Mus musculus: one gene and its partner. The protein of the gene in region 1 binds, or shares a complex with, the protein of each later gene. Links are inferred from orthologs where the notes say so. Each region holds a gene or a part of one and is shown on either strand. Other genes may lie near its edges. The genes, in order: Ormdl3 and Sptssa.

Region 1 (3,758 bases):
TGAAGATCTCACTTTCCTTCGCTCCTGGCTCCAAGAACACCTTGACAACAGAGCCAGGGCCAGGCTGCTGGGAAGGGAGTCCTCCGCTTGCCTGGAACTTTGTACTGGCCAGGGAGCAGCAGATAGTACACAGGACAGCCCGAGAGGCCAGTGTCCTCGGGAGATAAAGGGAGTGTCCTCCCTCTCCTCGCTGTGCTAGCAAAAGCCACAATGAACCCTCCTCTCCTCCTAATCCTCAAAGCAGGAGGAAGCACAAAGGCCAACCCTCTCCAAAACAGGAACTGGCTGGAAATGACCAAGGTGAGAGAGAAAAGAGGATAGATTCACAGTGCCAGTAGGAAACCGGAGAACCAGAGGTAACCCCCACCCCACTCCACTTGTAAAGGTCTAGACTGGCCTTCCCGGCCACCACGCCCCATTCCAGATTCCCCCAGCCAGACCTATAAAGCCGGATGCTCAGAGCCAACCGAGGACAGCAGGACTCCACTCTGACTTACCAGGGTCCTCACCATCTTCCTCACATCGCCTTTGGCTCCTGGACCTGGAAAAAGGCAGCCGCCCCAGAGTCCCCACTACTGCCTAGGCAGGAGCTGCCGTTGCTCCCACTGCCGCCAGCTTTCCTCCCAGGGCCCACCCGCCAGGAAGCAGAGGCCAGACATGGTAAACAGAACATGTTGCTCTTTATTTGCATTTTTTCAGAATACTGTACAAAGGGAGTAAAAATCCTATTCACACTTTGCTTAGAAAGACCAGAAGGTGAAAGTTCCCTATGATACACTGGGTTCAGAATGAGGGGGAGGGGGACAAACAGGTGAGTGACCTCCCTCCAGCCCCTCCCTGGGAGAGGGCTTGGGTAGCCACGCGTTTCCAAAGGAACATGCCCCAGTCGACCCAGCGAGTGGAGAGACAGCTCCTCTCGGCCTAGCCTCAGGCTCCATGACCTGCCTCTCTTTGGGCTGAGGACAGTGCCTGCAGCTGCCCCTACTACTGCCTGGTTTGGGCAGAGATCCTGTAGCACTGTGGAGGCCACTGACCACATGTGGAGGTGGCCTCCTGACCATTCACATGCAAGCCACACAAGAGGCACTGCCCCAGCACAATCTACACAAGAATACGAATTGAACGCTTAAGGAAGAGCCTCTCAGAAAGCTTCCGCGCGCGCCCACACACACCACTAAGGGAAGTGTCGAAGTGAACCCGCTTCTGAGGACTCACAGGCCCTTCCAGCCTGTGCATATCCTCATTCCAACCCAGGAGTTCAAACCCACAGGGGCCTCCCTTCCTATCAGCATCGTTCTGTGGGTAAATTAACCCTCCACGCCAGCTCTCCTCCTAGCCCACATCTCAGAGGAGGCGGAGTCTGGCTTCTCCTTCCCAGACCTCTTTTTTTTTTACACTGATCCATATCGGCTGCAGTTATCTTGTCCATTCTAAGTAAGACCCAACTTACTATCCCCACCCAACCCTTGCTCAGAACTCCCCTCTCCCCAGGACCAAGGTGGCAGCATCCTGTCCCCACCTCTAGGTGTCCCATCAACCCATCTTCCTTTCCTAATCTCCCCTGCCCCACAGCCTACCCATCGTGGGTTGCCAGGAAGCCCACAAAGCCCGCCTGCTCCCTGCCTGGCGGCAGAGGCAGCACGGCGCAGGGTTCTAATACATACAGAACAGCGAGTCTCGCTTCACACACTGAAGGAATGAGGGCAACCAATGCAGAAGCTGTACCGTCCCTCTGCCCCCCTTTTTGGGGGCTAAAGTGCTATGGCTGCCTGAGGGTAAACAAGCCAACAGGGCCTTTTCCTGGCTTCCTGTCCCAATTTCTCAGGCCCACAGTCAGCCAGAGAGCCCAGCCTCTTTCCTGACCACCCCCATGGCATCTCTATTCAAAAGGCAAAAGGAAAAAGATCAAAAACTTCAGAATGGGTTAGAGCCCAAGGGCCCCACCCTAACCCCACTACAAGCTACTCCAAGTCGGCTACTGGGGAAGCGAGGGGGAAGCCAGGCCCAGGGCACACCCCCATCTCTGGCAGTGTCCAGAGGCTCCTGTCTTCAGCATCACAGCAAAGGCCTTCCACCCTTCCCCTGCCAACCCGGCTGGGGAAGGGGCTACAACCTCAGTACTTATTGATTCCAAAGATCCGGACTCCGTGGAGCTGGGGGAGCTTGGGAATGAGCACAGTCATCAAGGACACAGTGTTGAGTATGAAATGGACTTGGTCATACTTGGTGTAGAAGCTGGTGAGGAAGTACCTGGAGGGGAGGGAGGGAGGGAGGGAAGGAGGAAATATGGGTTCCCAGATAAGAAGTGGAGTGACAACTCTCTAGCTAGCAAGGCCCTCCTGACCTACCTTCCCCCCCAGCTTACTCCAGTGAGGAAAGACAGGGCCAGGGAGGCCAAAGGCCCCGTGTGAGACCCAAGAATATGTCTCTTCCCTCCCTCTGCTCATCCATACAGCAAGGGCCAAAGCTGGGAGGGTTTAGGGCCAGCTGAGCCCACCCGTTTACCTCTGCTTATTCTCCCATAGCCAGAGTACTCACAGCACTATAGGCGTGATGGTTAAGAACTTCCTAGAGGCTGTGAACTGGACCCCGTAGTCCATCTGCTCCCAGTGGGTCAGCAACCTTGCTTTGCCTTGGTCTGGAGTCTCGAAGGGCGTCCCTTTCACGGTGTGCAGAAAGATGTACATGCCCTGAAAAGAGGGGCCTTTGTCAGAACATACGAGATGGCTCCCAGCCTGGCTCCCCCACTTATCAGACAGCAGCAGCTCTGGGTGGACTGCCACCTGCTCTGCTGCAGTAACTCAGGAAGGCAGCCTTAACACAGGAGAGCGCACCAGAGCTTGGTGGGAGAACAAGGGGGGAAATAAGGAAGGAACGGACACAGCAAGGCAGCCTTTCCAGCCCAACTGGGGTCTCTACATGTTAGCTAAAAGGAGCAAACCAAGGAGGAAGGACTAGACCCCAGCCTGCTCAAAAGTGGGGTACAAAGCAGCAGGTTTTAGGGAGCACAGAGGATTATGAGATCCTAATATGGGAAAAGAATGTCTCTGCACAGATTCCTGGGACCTGGGGGCAGCCTCAGCATGGGCTCAGCTCCCAGTTTGCTGTCCTTCAAACACACCAGCCACCCAACTAGGGAGACATGGACGATGTGCAAATTTGATTCTAAAGCCCACAAGGGGGAGCCAGGTAAGAGTTGGGCCTGGGCTCTGGTGACAGATGTTGTCAGGACCTGCTGTCTGTCCCATTAGAAGCTCCTCCTATCTCTCAGCTCTGGCCTAGAACAGCCCGCACGGGGGGTGGGGGGGGGGTGGGGGGGTGGCTGGTGGTAAGCAGGATCTTACCAGGTTGTGGATAAGGTTGGTGAGGGTCCAGACGACAGGGACGCTCACAAAGGGAATGCTCAGCAGCACGACATGCAGGAGTCCGATGGCCAGCACGTAGGAGAGCCAGATGCCGCGACTGTTCATCACCCGTGTGTTGGGGTTCACCTCACTGTGTGCTGTGCCCACATTCATCCTGCCACCCCTCTTGACTGCCGCTCTGCAAAAGAGCAACACAGGTGAGACAAGTCACACCACTTTCCCTGCCCCTCACACCCCAAGCCCCAGAGAGGCAGGCTTTTCACTCCCTGAGAACTCCACACCACTGTCCACTGTTGGGAGTCTCAAGCCCAGAAGCTGGAGAAAGTCCATGTGAACGTGACACTAGTCATTTCCTGTCACTGGGCTGGACTAACACCAGGCTGTCATACACAC
Region 2 (3,906 bases), on another chromosome or scaffold:
ATAAAATAAAATAAAATGACTAGGCACCTTGTGAAAGCAGATCTCAAGTCTATTGTTGTTTGTAAGGTCTTTGCTCGTAAGGAGCATAAGGAATTTAAGTTAATACCTGTCAACCTGGAAAGGTTTTAAAGCTTAAAGCAGCAGGTTTGAAACTTTTAGACATGTGAGTTGCAGGCTACTTAATTATGTCATTTCACAAGCACACAGTGCATGGGCTTTAGAGGAGTGGAATACAGCCGGTACTGCTGCAGGTCATAGGAGTGAATCTTTAGGAGACAGATCACATGCTGACCTCAAGCTGTCTTTAGAACCCACTAGATCAAGTGCACTTCTCTTGATTGTGACCTACATGGTTGTTTTCTAAGTGTAGTCATAGAAATATTGGCAACTGTCTATGGCCAATTCTTTTGTCTTTAGGTTAGGGAATACTAGTGCGTGTGTGTGTGTGTGTGTTGTGTGTGTGTGTACTCGCGCGCGCATCCTAGATAGGTCTGTTTTCACGCATGTGCTCGGAGGAAGGGAAGAGCTGATGAACATATTACTTCTACAGTTTTCAACATCTTCTTGGCTGGGTGTCATTTGGCATCCACATTCTCTTTGACCCCCGCATTCCCTCTTGCACAAGGCACTGTTTATTTGCATGCCCGACTCTTTAGTAGCATTCTCACCCAGCCCTATCATCTCTTGGCCCAGAAGGGATTCATGAGGTAGGAGAGAGATTACATACACTGGTTTCTAAAGGAATCCTTCTGGGCTGGTCTGAAGGATCCGGCCTCTTAAGGGCACCATCTCGCATGGACACCAGTGGGGACTGAAGCCGGTCTTGCAACCGCCATGCGTGCGCGTGGAGATGCAGAACTAGCACTTAAACCCAGACCGTTTCCCAGGGCTGGGGAGCTCGCTCCGGGCGAGGCGCGGGGCGGGACAGGAGCACACGAAGTGGCCGCTTGGCCAATAAGCGCAAGCCAGGAGGAGCCGGCGGTGGCCGCTCGGGTGCGCGCGGGGTTGGGCGTACACGGTGACGCGCAGGCTCGGCAGGACCAATGGGCGCAGGGTGGTGGCGGGCGGGCCCCAAGGCCTGGGGCTTTAGGAGGTGAGCGGGCCGCGGGCCCGCCTGACGCTGCTACACCGCGGGAGGCGCATGGCGGGCATGGCGCTGGCGCGAGCATGGAAGCAGATGTCCTGGTTCTACTACCAGTACCTGCTGGTCACTGCGCTCTACATGCTGGAGCCCTGGGAGCGAACCGTGTTCAGTATCCTGTGTGTCCTGGCCTGGCTGGGGCGTGGAGGGGTGCGCGCGCCGGGTTGGAAGGGGGTGGGGGGGTGTCTTGGGGTCAAGGGAGGTGGAACCGCGGAGATCCGGGTCTTGTACGCAATTCCCCTGCCCAAGGTGGAGGCATCCTGATTTCTGCAAGCAGTCGGGAGGGCGACGTCTCCCCTGGTGCTTCCTTGTCCCGCTTCGGCCGCGCCTGCTTTTGATCCTTCAGTATTCTTTGAGGCAGGGTTGCTGCAAATCGCTCCGGGCTTGGGCGTCTTTAACCCTTAGCTATTCCTGATTTGGAGCGATAGAACTCTAACCAGTTCACCAGGTTGTGAGTACGTGGTCTTGACACTCCCACACAGTTTTGGAAAGCAGTTTGTAAGTTACTGAAAGGCCTTTTGGGCTTCAAAATGGCAGTTTTAAAAGTGTGTTATATTTATGACTTCTTTGCATCATAGGTACAAGCTGTGCCCAGAAAAGACTTTGCTGGGGTTTCAAACTGTGCTTTGTTGTTTAGTTTATCACCGGTTAAGAATTGTTGAGTGATGACTTTGCTGAGCACTTTGTGTGTATGTTATCTTGCCTAATTTTAACAGCTCCAGCGAATAGCTCAAGGTTGTGAAGCCTGATGTTTGTTTTCGCCCAATGTCTATGCCGCTATCCTCTGATTTCCGTGTCGACGAAATACTAGCAATTCATTCTTTTAACGCTCCACTTCTCCTTTCCTTAATATAAAAAGAATATACCACATCACATGCTTATTTCATCCGCTCAGCTTCTTGTGGTTTAGCTTTGTTAGGAACAACTTCACAAACGCGTTCCTAGGACTGAGGTAGAGCTTCTTTGCAAGCTTTTTCAAGGGTGCTGGTGTGGAAATAGCATGAGGTTATTTGGAGCTGACTCTTGAAAAATTTTAGCGTCTTGCAAGACTATTACTGTGAGCAATTATTTCCTAACCTAAAGTTTAATAACCAGAATGTATATTTGGGGCTCCGGATTAAGAAAGCCTGATTTTCCGAATCGTTTATTTGTAGCTTCAGTTTGCTCTTTGGATTTTGTAGGTCAGATAACATCTATATTTAAATTTATGCCTAATTGGAACTTTTCAATAGTAGCAGGTAATCTTTTGATTAATTCATTAATTAATTCAAAACACGGTTTCTCTGTGTACCCCTGGATGTCCTGGAACTCATTCTGTAGACCAGGCTGGGTAGCAGTTAATCTTGACTGATAATTATCTTACTACAATTAATGTTGACAAAGCCCCATTAAATAATAATAATGAAAGCCAGCTGTGATGGTTCATGACTGATTACCATGCTCAGAGAGCTGATTCAAGAGGAATGCTGGGAGTTCAAGGCTGCCTGAGGTACATAATACATAGCTACTACCAGGCAAGCCAGGGTTACATAGCAAAACTCAAAGGAAAAGGAAGCCAGGCAGGCAGGCAAAGAAACAGTGTTGGGGTGAAGTGAAACTCTTTAGGTTAGGGTAACAGTAGAACTCAGTTTAGACCTGTAAGCTTTGAAACATTTGTTGGCATGTGGATAAATGCTACAGTGGCAACAGTGTTAAGATTTCTCTGGCTATATTGTAATAGAAATACTGACCCGGGGCCAGATGGCAGTGGCTCACATCTCTAAACCCAGCACTCTGGCAGCAGAAGCACACCGATCTCTGAGTTTGAGGACAGCTTGGTCTACAGAAAGAGTTCCAGGACAACCAAGGCTACACAGAGAAACCCTGTTTCCAAGGGGGGGGGGGGAATTTTTGTTTGAAAAAGTGCCTTTTTCTGTTCTTCTGTTCAAATAGTTGTGGGCATGGCTAGGTGTGGTGGTGCATGCTTGCCTGTAATTCTAGTACTTGGGGAGGTAGCTTCAGGAGCATCAGCAGTTAAAGGCTAGCTTCAGCTACATGTAGGTTTGAGGGCAGCGTTGGCTTCATGAAACCCTGTTCCTCAGAAAACACAGAACCAAACCAAGCCACCCCCACCAAAGGTGCTGATAGAATTACTGTTTCCTTTTGGAGACAGGGCTTGGTGCTGTGCCAGATGTCTGTTATCTGAATGAAAACATTACCCAGGTTAGTTATTATGCCGTTGTTTGCTGTGTTAGAGGTTCTTTGTGTCCCCGGGAAATGTACAGTTATGAGATTGAGGAAGAGGAGAGAGAGTGAGGCGGGGAATGGCAAGACCTAGTAGCCCAGGGAAAGATCTCTGATGGTCTTAATAACTCTCTTAGCTTCCTGGGAGATTGTCTCCTCAGCTCCCAGTTCCTAAGCTTTGGTTTGTTTTGCACTACCTTTGAATTGAGAATGTTAGAATACAGGGCTGGTAAGATGGCTCAGGGGTTAAGAGCACTGACTGCTCTCTCCCAGGGGTCCTGAGTTCAATTCCCAGCAACCACATGGTGGCTCACAACCAACTGTAATGGGATCTGGTGCCCTCTTCTGGTGTGTCTGAAGACAACTACAGTGCACTCAGATGTATAAAATAAATAACTAGAAACAAAGAAAGAGAGAGAATGTTAGACTACCTACTAGCTGTACTCCTGTGTAAGATAAGGAAGACAATGCCTAAGGTCTGGTCTGTGTCCCACAGTGCTTCAGCTTGTGATACCATTTGTTAGTAGCAGTGACTGAGGAGG

Evidence for each region.
Region 2: the proteins of Ormdl3 (region 1) and Sptssa are in contact, whole or in part, in a cryo-EM structure (PDB 7CQI), measured with the Homo sapiens proteins. The link is inferred for Mus musculus from reciprocal best matches to the Homo sapiens genes ORMDL3 and SPTSSA. Residues at the interface, in NP_001307730.1 of Homo sapiens: Val36, Leu38, Ser39, Ile40, Pro41, Phe42, Ser44; in NP_612145.2 of Homo sapiens: Ile44, Tyr50, Thr51, Val54, Phe55.

Annotation. Positions count from the first base shown.
Region 1 is NC_000077.6:98,580,598-98,584,355, forward strand, and holds the end of Ormdl3 (ORM1-like protein 3), read right to left. Parts: intron 3,544-3,758; 5' UTR 3,519-3,543; coding exon 3,345-3,518; intron 2,691-3,344; coding exon 2,539-2,690; intron 2,251-2,538; coding exon 2,115-2,250; 3' UTR 697-2,114; downstream 1-696. UniProt on the Homo sapiens protein: Plays an essential role in the homeostatic regulation of sphingolipid de novo biosynthesis by modulating the activity of the serine palmitoyltransferase (SPT) in response to ceramide levels.
Region 2 is NC_000078.6:54,653,719-54,657,624, reverse strand, and holds the start of Sptssa (serine palmitoyltransferase small subunit A), read left to right. Parts: upstream 1-1,052; 5' UTR 1,053-1,141; coding exon 1,142-1,253; intron 1,254-3,906. UniProt on the Homo sapiens protein: Component of the serine palmitoyltransferase multisubunit enzyme (SPT) that catalyzes the initial and rate-limiting step in sphingolipid biosynthesis by condensing L-serine and activated acyl-CoA (most commonly palmitoyl-CoA) to form long-chain bases.